2 linked regions of the Elephas maximus indicus genome follow. The protein of the gene in region 2 interacts with the protein of the main gene of each other region in a pairwise test. Links are inferred from orthologs where the notes say so. Each region holds a gene or a part of one and is shown on either strand. Other genes may lie near its edges.

Region 1 (7,495 bases), on a different chromosome or scaffold from region 2:
CCTGGCATGAGGACATATAGACAGCCTCCCCCAGCAGCCCAGAGGCCAGCAGGGGCCCTATTTTCTGTCTGCTGACAGTGTGTGAGGGGCTCCAGTGACAAGAGGGTATATTTTCTGCATGTTGTGCTGCTGGACTCCATTCTTGGCTGCTCTGCATCTCTTTAGATACCCTTATCTTATCTAATTACAAGGAATTTCAGATTAATTTCTTAGCCTCTGCTCCAAAGGACCTCTTATCAGTGAGGGCCTTGCACTTTAACCTTGTCATTCTTTTGTTGTTTGCCTTTAAGGGGGGGGCACCTAAGATCTTGCTGGAATTGGGGTTGGGGGGGAGGGGAGAAAGAGGGAGGAGACAGACCTGGGATTTGTGTATTCTGCTCCATTCCCCCCGCCTGTGTGCAGAGACAGCTGGCTGCTTACTTCCATGACAGCCACGTGGTACCCAGCCACACAGAACAGGACCTGGGCAGGGACTCATCTGCTGCCAACCTCTTCGGATCCCTTTGATATTTCTGACAGAGCAGTAAAGGACTCTTGACTATGATGGTTTGCCTTGCCTCTCTCCACCTCCTCTAAGACTCCTTGATGTGGTTTCCATGGCTACCCCCAATCAGATTTGGCTTCCTTCGAAATTGGATTTCAAAGAAGGACAAGGTTTCAAAGGAATTTGTCCATTTAACAGAATGTCATTAGGAGTGAGGCTGACTGCTGAACTAGGGTCCTCAGATGATTAAGAAGGGGCTGTGCTCATGTGTGGAGGCAGGTTTCTGTCTGCAATGAGGAACCTTGATGCAACATGACAATACCGTACTGGAATCTGCCAGTCAGCCACCACATGCTATCCAACCCTGTGCCTCTCTCTACCCCTACCTCTCTAAAACCCAGAGATTCCTGTGGGGAGGAATGGATGTAGAATACCTATGCAGTGAGTTTCTGCTCTTTCCCTTGGTATAAGTAAGCTCTGACAGGCAGTGAGGCCTTTGAGGATGTGCAATTACCTGGGTTTATTGCTCCTTATCAAAAAACTCATTAGCTTGTAGCCTATATTAGCAGGTGACACAATATCTTTGAAGAAGGGGGGTTGTTGAATTTTTCTTTCACTCCTGAGAGGGGAGGCAAGGCAAAGTGCTGAGGTGCCATATAGGAGGGGTTTTGTTTCCTTAAAGGAACCATACCATGGTGGCACAGTGGTTAAAGCACTTGGTGGCTGACCAGAAAGGCCAGTGATTTGAAACGACCAGCTGCTCTGAGAGAGAAAGATGTGGCAGTGTGCTTCTGTAGAGATTAAAACCAAAAAAGCCAAACCCGTTGCCATCAAGTCAACTCTGACTCATGGCAACCCTACAGGACAGAGTAGACCTGCCCCATAGAGTTTCCAAGGAGCGCTGGGTGGATTCGAACTGCTGACCTCTCTGGTAAGCAGCCATAGCACTTAACCATTATGCTACCAGGGTTTCCCTGTAAAGATTATAGCCTTGGAAACACTATGGAGCAGTTTTACTCTGTCCTACAGGGTCACTGGAAACCCTGGTGGCGTAGTGGTTAAGTGCTACAGCTGCTAAAAAAAAAGGTTGGCAGTTTGAATCTAGCAGGTGCTCCTTGGGAACTCTATGGGGCAGTTAGTTCTACTCTGTCCTGTAGGGTCCATATAGGGCTGTTATGAAAGGAACTCACTTGACAGCAACGGGTTTTTTTTGGTGTAGGGTCACTATGAGTCAGAATTGACTCAACAGCAGTCGGTTTGGTTTTTGTTTCTTTTGCTGTTTTTTTTTTTTTAATAAATTATTTTTTAACACAGTTTTAGATTTACAAAAAAATTGTGATGATAGTACAGAGAGATCCCATATATCCTCCTTTGCTTTTTAACACATGGTAAAAGTACGAAAAAATGATTCAAGAACAGCTACAATTTTATAGAAGGATAGGCAATGAGGTTGGCGAAACTGCCTGGGGGCTACCTGGTAGTTTCTCAGGGGCCTAGAGGGGGCAGCTTGCCCATTACTACACCTTCCCAGGGCACGAAGGAGGACCAGCAGGAGCCAGATTCCCTAGAGACTCCAGCCAGCCTTCTATCCCCACCCGACAACTTGTTGTGGGTGGGTCATGTGACTCTGAAACCAAGGCACCATTCCTCTTCAAATCACAGGAAGCGAAAGTGTAAAGATGGCTCAAAGTCACTGCACCCCCTCAAGGATCAGGCCTCCAACCTTGAGGCTGTATCTCTAGAGGGGAAACTAGGCCAGAAAAGTAGGCACTGCTACCACCGTTTCTTCTGGCTGTTTCTGTCACCACCTCCCTGCTTTAAAAAGAACACATTACCATCGTGACCCTATCGGACAGAGTAGAACTGCTCCATAGGTTTTCTAAGGCTGTAATCTTTATGGAAGCTTTCTTCTATGGAGCGGCTGGTGGGCTCAAACCACCAAGCTTTCAATAAGCAGCTGAACACCTTAACCACTGCACCACCAGGGTTCTTCCCCTTCTTGCTTTAGTTCACCATTATTTCCCTCTGATGCCACCGTAAAAACCACTTCACTCATCTTCCCGATGTCCTCTCTCTTACCACTTCCAATCCTTCCCACATAGTCTGTGGGTTGAGTCTGAGAATAGAAAACTCCATCTTACAAAGAAGGAAAACGGTAGAGGTGAAGTGAGATATGTGAGGTCATATGCTACCACAGAACTCTGATTAGGTCACCTTCTACCTCAAAAATTGTCAATGGCTCCCCAATGCCCATTTGATTGAATTAAAAATCATTCAAGGCCTTTCACAATAGATTCAATTTATTTTGACACCATAGTATCCCTACGCCATCCAGTAAAAGAGGGCTACTAGTAAGCGACTCCACGGCATTGGGTTTTTGGTAGTTGTTCCTTAAGTAGTAGAGGGCTTTTCCATCTGTTTATTCTGGTCCTTCCACTTGGAAAGCGCTTCTGACCCTTCAACGTCTGGCGTGTTTTTCAGAGCCTATTTCAAATGCTACATGCACCACTAAACACACAGACACTTCCCTCCTTTTCTTATACCCATCTCCCTCCCACAGCATTTTAAACCTTTCTCACAGCACTTGGCCTACTGTAGTTTTTTTAAAAGTAAACTCTTTATTGTGAGGTAACTGTAGATTCACACGCATTTGTAAGAAATAATACAGAGATCCTGTTCACCCTTTACCCAGAGCCCCCCAATGGTAACATCTTGTAATACAGCATGGTATCACAACCAGGATACTGATGCCTATGTACTTCGAGTAAGGGGGAGAGAAACTCTCCCCTATGATCTTGGCCTAGCCTCTGTTCATTCTCCTGTTTGTCAGCTCTTAGAGGGAAAGGGCTCTGTACGCCTCTCTGTCAGCTTCCCTACCCAGATACCTGTTGTGGATTGAATTGTGTCCCCCCAAAGTATGTGTCAACTTGGTTAGGCCATGATTTTCAGTATTGTCTGATTGTCCATTTTGTCATTTGATGAGATTTTCCTATGTGCTGTAAACCCTATCAATATGATGTTAATAAGATGGATTATTAGTGTCAGTTATATTGATGAGATCTACAAGACTAGATAGGGTCTTAAGCCAATGTCTTTTGCAATATAAAAGAGATTATCCAGTAGAGACATGGGGACCTCATACCACCAAGAAAGCAGTGCTGGGAGCAGAGCCTGTCCTTTGGACCTGAAGTTCCTGTGCTAAGACGCTCCCAGACCAAGGGAAGACTGATGTATCACAAGGACCTTCCTCCACAGCTGACAGAGACAGAAAACCTTTCCCTAGAGCCAGAGCCCTGAATTCAGACTTCTAGCCTACTGGGCTCTGAGAGAGTAAACTTCTCTTTGTTAAAGCCATCCACTTGTGGTATTTCTGTTACAGCAGCACTAGATAACTAAGTCAATACCCCTTCCTTTCTCCATATCCTTTCAACCTTAGAGGGGGACGCTTTGTCTTCCTGAGTCCATTGCTGCTGCTTCCGCTCCAACTCTCCCAAATGTTGGTGGCTTCATATAATTTACCGGGACTTAAAATCATTCCCTTTAAACATCCAGGTTTACCTGAGATAGAGAACGTTCTGCCTTAGTTTTCTGAGCAACGACGGTGTGGACGGGATCAGGAATTGAGTGGCGCTTCTTGGCTTGGACTAACCTCTTTCTCGGGTTCCGCCTGTTCACACCCTCTTTCAGGCATCTCTGTGGCGTCCAAGCCTTTAGGCCAACTGTTCAGTGCTTAGGTCGGAAAGTCTCAAAGAGACTTGGTTCCTTTGAGTCTTGTGAAGTCCCTCGTTTTGGCAACCGGCCTGTGGGGAAACCTGTCGGCCTCCACGGTGCGGCCCTCCCGCCCGTCCATCCTCGCCACCAGCGGACCTCAGAGCCCCGGTGACGGTGCCGCGCGCCCCCCGCGCGGGCACGCCACGCCCCCACCTCCGGGCTGCGCCCCCGGCCGCGAGCTCCACGGGGGGCGCCCCCCGGCCCGCCGCGCGCGCCACTTCCTGAGCGCGCCCCGGGATCACGGCCCCGCCCTGCGGCTCGGCCCGGCTGCTGCGGCGGGCGACGACGGCAGAGGTACAGGTGCCTCCGCGGCGGTCTCCCCTCACCTTCCAGCCCGCCGGTCTTTGGAACAGGCCTTCACGCCCCTGTCCTGTCTCACACGCCGGCCTTCCTACCGTCCCCGCCAAATGCAGGCCACCGTCACTCTCCCTGAGGAGGTCTTTTGGCTCCTGGAAGGTAACGCCCTGGCCCAGCCCCCAGCTCCCTCCCTCCACCCCCCGGGAAGTCCCTCAAGTGCTGAGCTGAAGGGAGGAAAGGAGACACCAGGGGCTCCCAAGGCCAGGCTTTCTCTTTAGCTCCTTCACTCAAGGCTTCTAGAATCTTCAAAACTAGGTTTTCATCCACTCACTTCAGGGTCCCTTTCTCTCTCTCCAATTCCACATTTTCTTTTTCCTCAAGGCGTCTTTACTACACATAACCTCCCCAACTTCTAAACTCCTCCAGGCCAGGTTGTTGGCCCCTTACCTGTCATTTCCCCCTTAGGACCACGCCCTACATCCGCAGGCTTTCTCCCTTTTCATCACCACCCCCCGCCTGCCCACTTCCATCACCTTTCACAGAAGATCCTCACCTTCCTGCTTAGAGGCCCCTGAGGTTCTGTGAAGGACTCCCAGGGTGAGCCTTTGTTGGTCGAGGCCTGGTGGTTCATCTTAGTTTTTTTGTCAGTGCTGAAACGCCAGGCCTCACTTTATCAGCCTGCAGATTTCTAGGGGGTCTCAATGCTGAACCCAAGTCTAGCTAGAGTTGTCCCATTGTGCTATGTTTACTTTGAAACTATAGTGTCTAAGCAGTCTTTTTAGAAGGTTGAGGCCATACTAACACTCAACACGTACTTCTAACGCTCTAAAGAGACTTTTCCTTAATGGGCAGTATCATCTGCTCAGGTCACACTTTTCCTGGTGAAAGGAAGTTTTACTTGTTTTCCTGTAGCTGACCTTCTAGGAAAGACAGAGATTTGGAGTCTGCAGTTAAATAGGGTCTCAGGAGGAAACCACTTAGAATTAAGCTTTTTGGCATCTAAGTGACATTTTGGCACATACGTAACAGATGGCCTTCTTTGGGCAGGTCATGCTCTTGGCAAGCAGTAGTTTTTCGGTTTCTCTCAATTTAATTGGTTTTACCTCTCCATTACTTTGTTATTTTGATATAAATGCCTCCTAATCAAATATTTGGCAAGTTCTTTTGGTCTCTGCTTGTAGCGCCGTTTCCGCTCTGGATTTCGTCTATGTGAAAACCGTCAACTAGATATTTCTTCTGAGGTGAGGTTTCCAGAATCCATTTTAATTATGACCTGAGTGAGGCTAAAGTTTAGGAATAGAAAACTATTTGCAAGGTAAAAGAGAGTTATCTGGGTTTCTAAGAAGAAGCAATCCAGCCTTTTCCTCTAGTGTTGAGTTGGCTCTTGGTTCAATACTAGGCTTGTGACAAGAGGCTGTAAGTGTCTTTGGTTTCCAGGGTAGAAGAAACTGTGGCGAGAAGTTTAATTCTGCTCTTGCATTTAAAGATATAAAGTGATCCCTTTTTTGGTGTCTGTCATTTGATGAAACCTATCTTACAAGCTTGTTAAACTATACTTCAGTTTTGTGTGTAGCCTTGGTAGAAAATTCCTTTTTATTTTCAGAAGCTTGCGGTGAAACTCCTTCAGCATTTTTGATACGCAGTCCTGTATTGTTCAAAACTGACACTTTGGTAAACAACTCATTTCTGCACCTGCCACCTTCCTTTAACTTAGATTATATTCTTGTTAGCTGACTGTTTTTAATTGAAGTCTTCAGATCTCCTTCTAAAGTAGAACCTTTGTTTGCTGACAAGCAGAGCAGGCGATGAATGGAGATTAATTGCATGTCACATACTTCTGTATCAAACTTGCTGTGTCTTAACAATCTCTGTTGGTATTCAGGTCTTTAGGATACAAGGAGGAGTCTGAGGTTAAATTTTAAAGAGCATTGTATTTCTTTAAGGTTTTTTTTTTTTTTTTTAACTTTGCAATTAGAGTCTGAATCTCAGGTAGAGGGAAAAAAATGTAAAGTAGGATCCAGCCAGTGATCCTCTGGAAAATATTTGAAGACGGTTTTCAAGATTCATTTAGTAATACCAACTTATTGGCTGTAGGTTTAATTTTGTATGGAAAACAGTCTCTAGTGTAGACCAGCAGAATTACTCATTGTGTTACAAATAATTTGTGGATATTAGAAACCCAAAATGGCCATCAATTTATATCTATTGCTGTTTACTCATCTCCCCTTCTATTTAAGGTTAACCCTTGACAATTAGAAAATATGTAGGTCCCGATCTCTCTACAGTCACACAATGGAAGGGAGTCACAGGATGTAAGAGCAGCTTTACTGCTGCCACGTGGCCGTGGGGTGGAGTTTCCACGATGAATTACTACTTTCATAAACCAGGGCATAAGCCTTTGCACAGTGATTTAATGCTGGCCATCACAGCCATAACTTAAGCATTTATTTATTTATAACCACATGGGCATAAATGACAGGGGTGTTTTTTGACATAATGTCTGCTTTTAAAAATAAAATATGCAAAGCATTGTGAAAGGTTTATACCACACTTTTGCATAGTGAAGAAGGGAACAGAAATTCTGAAGGTTTAAAATTAATTTTTTGTAGCGATAAAATTTTAAACATTGGAAAATGTTTAATTTGAGAAACCCCATCTCTAGGAATCCATGTCACTGAAATTAAAGTGCATAAGGTACGTGCACAAAGATCCATCTTAAATGTCCTTGAGTTGGGAAAGAATGAGGGGATAGTTGAATGAATTAAGGGACATCCATATTACAGAATACTTTGCAGCCATTAAAAAGGATATGATACATCTGTATATATGAACTCCGAAAATGTCCATGGCATGTTTTTAAGACTGAAAAAAGCAAGATGCATATTAGTATATATAATACCCTATTTTTGTTTGAAAACAAACAAAACCAAAAAATCACCAAGT
Region 2 (7,370 bases):
TTCTTAGGGCCTGCACTGAACTCTGGCTGCAAGGGCTTCCTGGGGTGATCAGTGAACTCGGCCTGCGAGGCCTTTTTAGGGCCCGCAATGAACTCGGGCTTCAAGGGCTTCCTGGGGTAATCGGTGAACTCAGGCTGTGAGGCCTTCTTGGGGCCTGCACTGAACTCGGGCTGCGAGGGCTTCTTGGGGTGATCAGGGAACTCAGGCTGCGAGGCCTTCTTAGGGCCCGCACTGAACTCAGGCTGCGAGGGCTTCCTGGGGTGATCAGTGAATTCGGGCTGTGAGGCCTTCTTGGGGTGCTCGCCTGGCACAGGCTGTGGAAACTTGGGCAGTTTGTTGAACTCAAGCTTCGGAGGTTTCTTGGGGAGTTCACTGGGCTCGGGCTGAGAGGCCTGGAACTTTGCTTGGAGGCTCCGGAAGTCCTGATGGCCCTCCTATGGGACACGGAGCCAGTCAGGCGGTGACTCTGATACAGAGGGTCGTGGGGACACACATAGACAATGTCATAGACACGCACCACCATCACCATCCCCAGGCTTCTCTTCCCTGGCCTCAGCCCTCATGCCTTTCTCTTTCAAGGATCCCCCATATTTTTTTCTTCAGCCTCCCCCTGAGCCCAAAACAAAATAAAACCCAACCAGCTGTCGTCGAGTCATTCCAACTCATGGCAATCCCATGTGTGCAGAGTAGAGCTGCTCCAAAGGGTTTTCAGGGGTGACCTTTTGGAAGCAGATTGCCAGGCCTTTCTTCTGAGACACCTTGAGTGGGTTCAAACTGCCAACCTTTCAGCTAGCAGCTGCTTAACCATTTGCAGCACCCAAGGATGACTCTCTGAGCTCCAGGCTCCTGTAACTATGCCCTCCCTCACCCCCACTCACCAGCAGGACCTGAGCGCCCGATTGCCTGGTTTCCCCAGCCTGCTGCCCCCACAGTCCTCTCTCAGTGATGGTGTCTTCCCGGTATCCCTGACGCCCTCCTCCTCTCATACCCCGTTTCTCCAGTTCCTTCTGTTCCAACTTCCAAATACCATCTGGAATCCAAACACATCTCACAGCCTCACCACTGTCACCAGGCCCAAGGACCCTGCCTCCATTCCTGGATTATAACAGGCTCCTCCAGGCCCCCACCCTTCCCTCACCACCTCCGTCAGTTCCCCTCCCCACCCTCCACAGCAGCCACAGGACGCCCGTTAGGCCCCAGCTCCCGCTGCTCCAATCCTGCTGCGGTTCCTCGAGTGCCCACTAAACGCCAGAGGCCTCGGCAAGGCCCTGGCTCTGTCCCAAGTGCCCTTGAAGCCCCTCGTCGAGTCCCAGGGCCACCTCCTTCCCCACTGCCTCCTTCCACTCCCCTTGTTGCTCCTTGAACTACCTTCCCTCCCATCTTGGGGCCTTCGAACTTGCCCTTCCCCTCTCCTGGGACACTCTTCTCCACCACGTGGCTCTTTCCTCTTCCTCCTCCAGTATTTGCTTATTAGAGAGGTTTTCCCGGAGCGCCATATTGTAAATTGGTTCCCCTTCCCCAGTACTGAGTTCCCTGAATGGCGCAAACAGTTCAATTCTCAGCTACCAACCGAAAGGTTGGTGGTTCACATCCACCCAGAGGCACCCCAGAAGAAAGGCTCATTGACCTGCTTCCGGAAGATCAGCCACTGGAAACCCCAGGGCGCACAGTTCTGCTCTGACACGGGGTCGCCATGAGTCGGAGTTCACTCGAAGGCAGCCGTTTCTGGGTGGTGTAAACAGTTAACCTGCTTGTCTGCTAACCAAAAGGTGGGTGGTTCACGTCCTCCCAGAGGCACCTCAGAAGAAAGACCTGACAATCTACTTGTGGAAAGGGCCTATGGAGCAGTGTTCTACTCTGACACACATGGGGTCGCTGTGAGTTGGAGCTGACGTGCCAGCAGCTGTTCTTTTTGTTTCTGTACTACCTACGTGATTTTTCCCTTAGCAGCTGCCACCGTGTGTCATGCCTTTTATACATACACGGACACACACGCACACATTTTTTATGTGTCCTGACAGTTTTTGTTTTGTTTGTTTTTTTGCCTCTACCCCCACCCTCCGCCCCTGGAAGAATGTAAGTGCCGCCAGGGCTGTCATCTTCGCAGTGCCTGTCACGAAGTAGGTGCTCAGTAAATGTCTGTTAAATGAAAATACACAGAGAAGCACAAAGGTATCGTCTCAACCATGTACAGTCTGTTACAGACCCACGTGGACATGTGTGGAGGGACACACGGACCTGGGCTAAGCACAGGCACACGTCACAGACACCAGGCAGCAGCGGCAAACAGTCCACCTCAGGCACCCTCCCTGGCGCTGCACGAGCCCACAATGCTGCGGAAGGCTCCTGGCGACAGGCACGGGCAGGCGCCCAAGTAGGGCAGGCCCTTTCTGACCTATAAATTCCCCCCAGGTGGCCCTGCATCAGACCCCTGAGCCTGGCTTTCTGGGGGTCAGTAAGGTTGGGGGAGGAGGAGGCAACAAGCGGGAAGAGGGAAGGACTGGCCTGACCTTTGCCTCACTCTCCCTGTCGGGAGAGCCAGGGGGTCCGGATCACCCCTTGGAAAGACGAGGACCCCCGCCAGGGGCCTGAACCGTCTCTGGTCAAGCCCCCAGCTGGGCTGGCTGAGTCCAGGGTTCCCAAGTGACCACAAGGCCTGATAAATCAGGATCAGCAGGTCATGATTCAGGTGAAAGGGAGATGGGGATGGGAGGTGATGATGTATGACCCACTTTGTCACGCCACAGGAAGTCCCTACTCTCATCCCGGCCTCCCGTGACCAGGTTGCTGCTCATGCTGACCTGGGAGGTGGGGAGTGGTCCTGGGCTGTCCCACCTGTCCCCCTTGCAGTCACAGCCCAGCCTGGCCTGCCCTCAGAGCCCGAGCTGCCCTGGAGCTGCGCCCAGCTGCTTCCTACCTTAGGGCCCTTTCCGGGTCTCAGCCCCACTCCTAGGCTCTCCACTCCTACAATGTGCCCACTACTACCCATTGCTCCTCCTTCGCTACCTCAGGTATGGGGCTCTCCCGGGGTTGGGGACTCACCATGGCTGCAGGCAGGTGACGGGCTGGGGCGCGTGGGACCCGCGCCGGGCTGCTGCCTTCAGGAAATGACTGTGGCTTCTGCTCTGGCCAGCTCTCAGGGGTGGGGGCTGCTGGTGGAAGGCAGAGGAGGAAGGAAAGGAGGCGGGGACTACCCCAGCCTGTCCTTAGATCCTGCAGGTACCTCTGTCCCCCTTGAGTTCCTGTCCCACCTGCTGCTGCTGTCCCTGAGCTTCAGGTGCTGGGCAGTATCCATGCCCAACAGGGGCCCTAGCTTGTTAACTCTCTGTTGCCCTCTCCCCCGGGGGTACTCAGTGCCAGGCCTTGGGGGCCTTCTGCCTCCAGAGAGAAAGGCCCCAGGGGAATCCAGCCCTGGCTGGAGCCTCCGATGGGGCATCCTGGGTGGGAGAAAGGCATGGTCAGACCTGGGGAGCCCCCAAGAGCTGGGAGAGGGGAGGGGTGTGCTGTCTGAGGCCTATTGCCTGCCCTCTTGCCTCACTCACCTTCCGCATTTCAACGCTTCCCCACCAGCTGCTTCCCAGCTCGGACCCAGACTTCCCTGTCACACTGCGAGGCTAGAGGGCTAGGGCAGACAAGCTGGCACAGGACCTGGCCAGGGTGGCGGATTTGGTTGTGGTGATGGAAGTGGTCAAATGCCCTGCCCACGGGGGGGAGAGGGGGGAAGAGGGGGCCTGAGGACACCCCAGCCCATCACTTCCCTTCTTGAAAGTGTGAAGGGGAGGAACCAGAGGTGACAGAGGGCAACAAGGTGGCAGAGAGGAGCTGGAGGCAATGGGAAGGACCAGTCCAGCCAGATAAAGGCAGGTACTGACAGGGGCCTGTCCTTGGAGGTCTGCAACCTCACGGGGAAAGCCTCCAGTTCAGAACATTGGAATTCCCTGAGGAGTTGACAAGACAAAACCCTGCATGGATTCTGACTTAACTGGTCTGGGTGTGGCTTGGGCTGTTGTTAGTTGCCTTCCAGTGGATCCCACGTCTTGGCGACCCCACATGTACAGAGCAGAACTGCTCTGTAGGCTTTTCTTGGCTGTAAGCTTTACAAAAGCAGATTGCCAGAACTTTCTTCCACAATACTGCCTTAAGTTGTTAGTTCCTGTCGATTTGATTCCGACTCACAGCAGCTTCATATGTGCAGAGTAGAACTGTATTCCATAGGGTTTCAAGGCTGTGACCTTTTGGAAGCAGATGGCCGGGCCTGACTTCCATGGCACCTCTGGGTGGGTTTGAACCGCCAACCTTTGGGCTAATAGGCACTTGACTGTTCGCACCAGCCAGCCACCTGTGGCCTGGGTACGAGGATGTTTTAGGCCTGCAGAGCTGATTCTAATCTGCAGCTACATTGAGCAGCACCAGAAACCTTGCTAAGATGCAGATTCTGACTCAGCTCCACGATGGGCCTGATTCCCCAGGCCCCCCAGTGATGCCGGGACTGCTGGTTCAAAGACCACACTTTGAGTAGTGAGGTGGGAATGAGCTTATTTGAAGAAGGGGCAGACAGGGAAGGCAAGCCGGCCTGTCTTGAGGACGGTGCCTTCTGCCTTCATCCTCTGCCCTTCAGAAGGGAACTGGCAGCACCTTCATTTCTGTGTCTGCATTAAGAGCACAGCCTCGGGATTCCGGAGCCTCCAGGCCACTTTGCAGGTGTAGGGCCCCTTCCAAACAGGGCCCAGCCAGGGTCCTCTGGGTCTCCAGCCTCAGCCAGCAAAGGCTGGTTGGAAAAGCACCGCACGGAATGTTTGGTAAGGGAATGCATGAATAAAAGAACAAATGATTATTGGCCAAGAGCATACAGTAGATGCTCAGTCAAGGTCAGCGAAAGGACTGACAGCTGGTGACTCGTGGGCAGGGGAGCCAGCGGGCGGTGCGTGTGGCAGGCCGGGGAAAGCAGGTGTGGGCGCGCGGTCCCAGCACGGCCACCAGGGGGCGTATCCCCCCCCCTTTGTGTGTTTGGCGCCTTCCCTGTGGAGCTGGGGCCTGGGTCCGCGAGGCCAGACATGGACAAGCGGCTCCACTTGCAGCTGCGGAATCGGAACCCAGCAGAAGTTATCAGGGGGCAGGATCCGCCTTGGGGAGCGGGGTTTCGCTGGGGCGCAGCCTGGAACACTGTGGACTGGGGAGGGGACCAGGCCTGGGAACTTAGACGCTCGGGTGTCCTAGCGCGGGGGGCGAGGGGCCTGAAGTGCGCAGAGAGCTGAAGCTGGCACGCCCGGTCCCTGCGCAGGAGCCCGGGGCCATGTGGCTGGCTGCCCGGGTCAGGGGTGGCGACACCCGGGCAACCGAGGGCCAGGCTCAGCCGCACGTGGTCCGAACAGTCCGAGGCCGGGGGTAGTCTGAGCACGTGGGCGGCCAATCCGGGGGGCGCGTAGGGGGGGCCGCCTGGGGGGGGGGCGCAGAGTCCGGAGCCCGGGATCAGGGCTGGCAGGGACTGCGGGTGCTCCACCCAGGGTCCGGGGACGCGCCCAGGAAGGAGCCTCCACCTCCCGGCGCCCAGCCTGGCGTGCGGGTAACCGAGCCGGCACCCGCAGGTGACCGAGCTGGTGCTGGACAACTGCCGGGCAGAGGGCCGGCACCTGACTGATCTCACAGCGGACTTGAGCCGCCTGGAGCGGCTCAGCCTGAGCTACGTGAACCTGCAGTCGCTGGCGAACGTGTCCTTGCTGGGCCAGCTGCGAAAGCTGGACGCCTGCCGGAGTCAGGATGCCCTAGCTCATCTCATTCATTCCCTCTAGGGACAGACTTCTGGGCGTTCTTTGCTGGGCCCAGCTGCGGCCCTCACAGGACTCATCTCCAAGGCATCCTGGAGTTGGAGGGGGTACCTCTGTGGGTCACGGCTTAGCTAGAGGAAAGGGAGCCAGATCAGAAGGCTCCCCAGGAAACCAGACAAATGTTGACCTTGAGTGGGGGAGGCTTGAGGATAGGAGGTAGTTGCTGGAGTGAACACAGTGGTTGGTGGAGGCCAGATCCTGATCCAGCTCCTGGGGCCTTCGGTACAGTTCCAACTTGTTCCAGAGGGCAGCTGGGAGCGGTTCCCTCCACAGAAACGATGGGCTGGGGGGACGGCCCTGGATAAAGGCGCTGGCTTTGGGTCTCTGGAAAGGTGCCGCCAGATTGGGAAGTGGTGTTGCCTGGATTTGGGGGAGGGTGGGGGACGCTGGAGGGTTGGGTGTAGGGTGATGGAAAACAGTAATTACGTGATGATCATTCGGCAATTAATTCTTGATCACCTATTACATACCACAAGAGCACTCGTGTCGAAAAGGTTAATCACTCAGCTGCTAGCCGCAAGTTTGGCGGTTCAAACCCACCAGCCTCTCTATTGTAGAAAGGAGTTGGCCGTCTTCTTCTGTAAAGATTACAGCCAAGAAAACCCTATGGGGCAGTTCTACTCTGTCCTATAGGATGGGAATTGACAGCACACAACATTATGTTCCAAAGGAGCCCTGGTGACATGACGGTTAAGAACTTGGCTGCTAACTGAAAGGTCAGCAGGTCAAACTCACTAGCTGGCTCCTCAGGGGAGAAAAGACCTGGTGATCTGCTTCCGTAAAGATTACAGCCAGTAAAGTCCTATGTGCAGTTCTACTCTATTGCCTGGGGTCACTATGAGTCACAAGCGATTCTACAGCACCTAACATCATTATGAACCAGGTCCCTGGGCTGAGTGGTGCAAATGGTTTGCTCTCAACTACCAACCTACGAAGAAGAATTAACCGAAGAATTGATGCCTTTGAATCGTGGTGCTGGCGAAGAATATTGAATATACCATGGACTGCCAAAAGAATGAACAAATCTGTCTGGAAAGAAGTACAACCAGAATGCTCCTCAGAAGCAAGGGTGGTGAAACTGCACCTTACATACTTTGGACATGTTGTTAGGAAGAATCAGTCCCTGGAAGACTTCATGCTTGGTGAAGTACAGGGTTAGCGGAAAAGAGGAAGACTCTGAAGGAGACGGACTGACACAGTGGCCACAACAATGAGCTCAAGCGTAACGACGATTATGAGGATGGTGCAGGATTGGGCAGTGTTTCATTCTGTGGTGTATGGGGTCGCTGAGTCGGAACCTACTCAATGGCACCTAACACCACCACCACCACTAGCCTAAAGGTTGGCACTTCAAACTCACCCAGTGGTGCCCCAGAAGAAAGGCCAGCAATCTGCCTCCATGAAGATTACAGCGAAGAAAACCCTAAAGAGCACAGTTCTACTCTGTCACCCACAGGGTCTCCATGAGTTAGAATCAACTCGATGGCAATGAGCCAGGGGACCCTGATACCCGGAGAGGAGCTGGGGGTCTGGAACACCCTGTCC

What was found.
Region 1: the proteins of PRAM1 (region 2) and SKAP1 interact in binary tests that used the Homo sapiens proteins (3 or more experiments, as listed by UniProt). The two-hybrid records come from large-scale screens. The link is inferred for Elephas maximus indicus from reciprocal best matches to the Homo sapiens genes PRAM1 and SKAP1.

Annotation. Positions count from the first base shown.
Region 1 is NC_064837.1:45,076,454-45,083,948, forward strand, and holds the start of SKAP1 (src kinase-associated phosphoprotein 1), read left to right. Parts: upstream 1-4,495; 5' UTR 4,496-4,662; coding exon 4,663-4,711; intron 4,712-7,495. UniProt on the Homo sapiens protein: Positively regulates T-cell receptor signaling by enhancing the MAP kinase pathway. Required for optimal conjugation between T-cells and antigen-presenting cells by promoting the clustering of integrin ITGAL on the surface of T-cells.
Region 2 is NC_064821.1:13,197,431-13,204,800, forward strand, and holds the start of PRAM1 (PML-RARA-regulated adapter molecule 1), read right to left. Parts: upstream 3,019-7,370; 5' UTR 2,765-3,018; coding exon 2,511-2,764; intron 1,726-2,510; coding exon 1,628-1,725; intron 1,031-1,627; coding exon 879-1,030; intron 435-878; coding exon 1-434. UniProt on the Homo sapiens protein: May be involved in myeloid differentiation. May be involved in integrin signaling in neutrophils. Binds to PtdIns(4)P.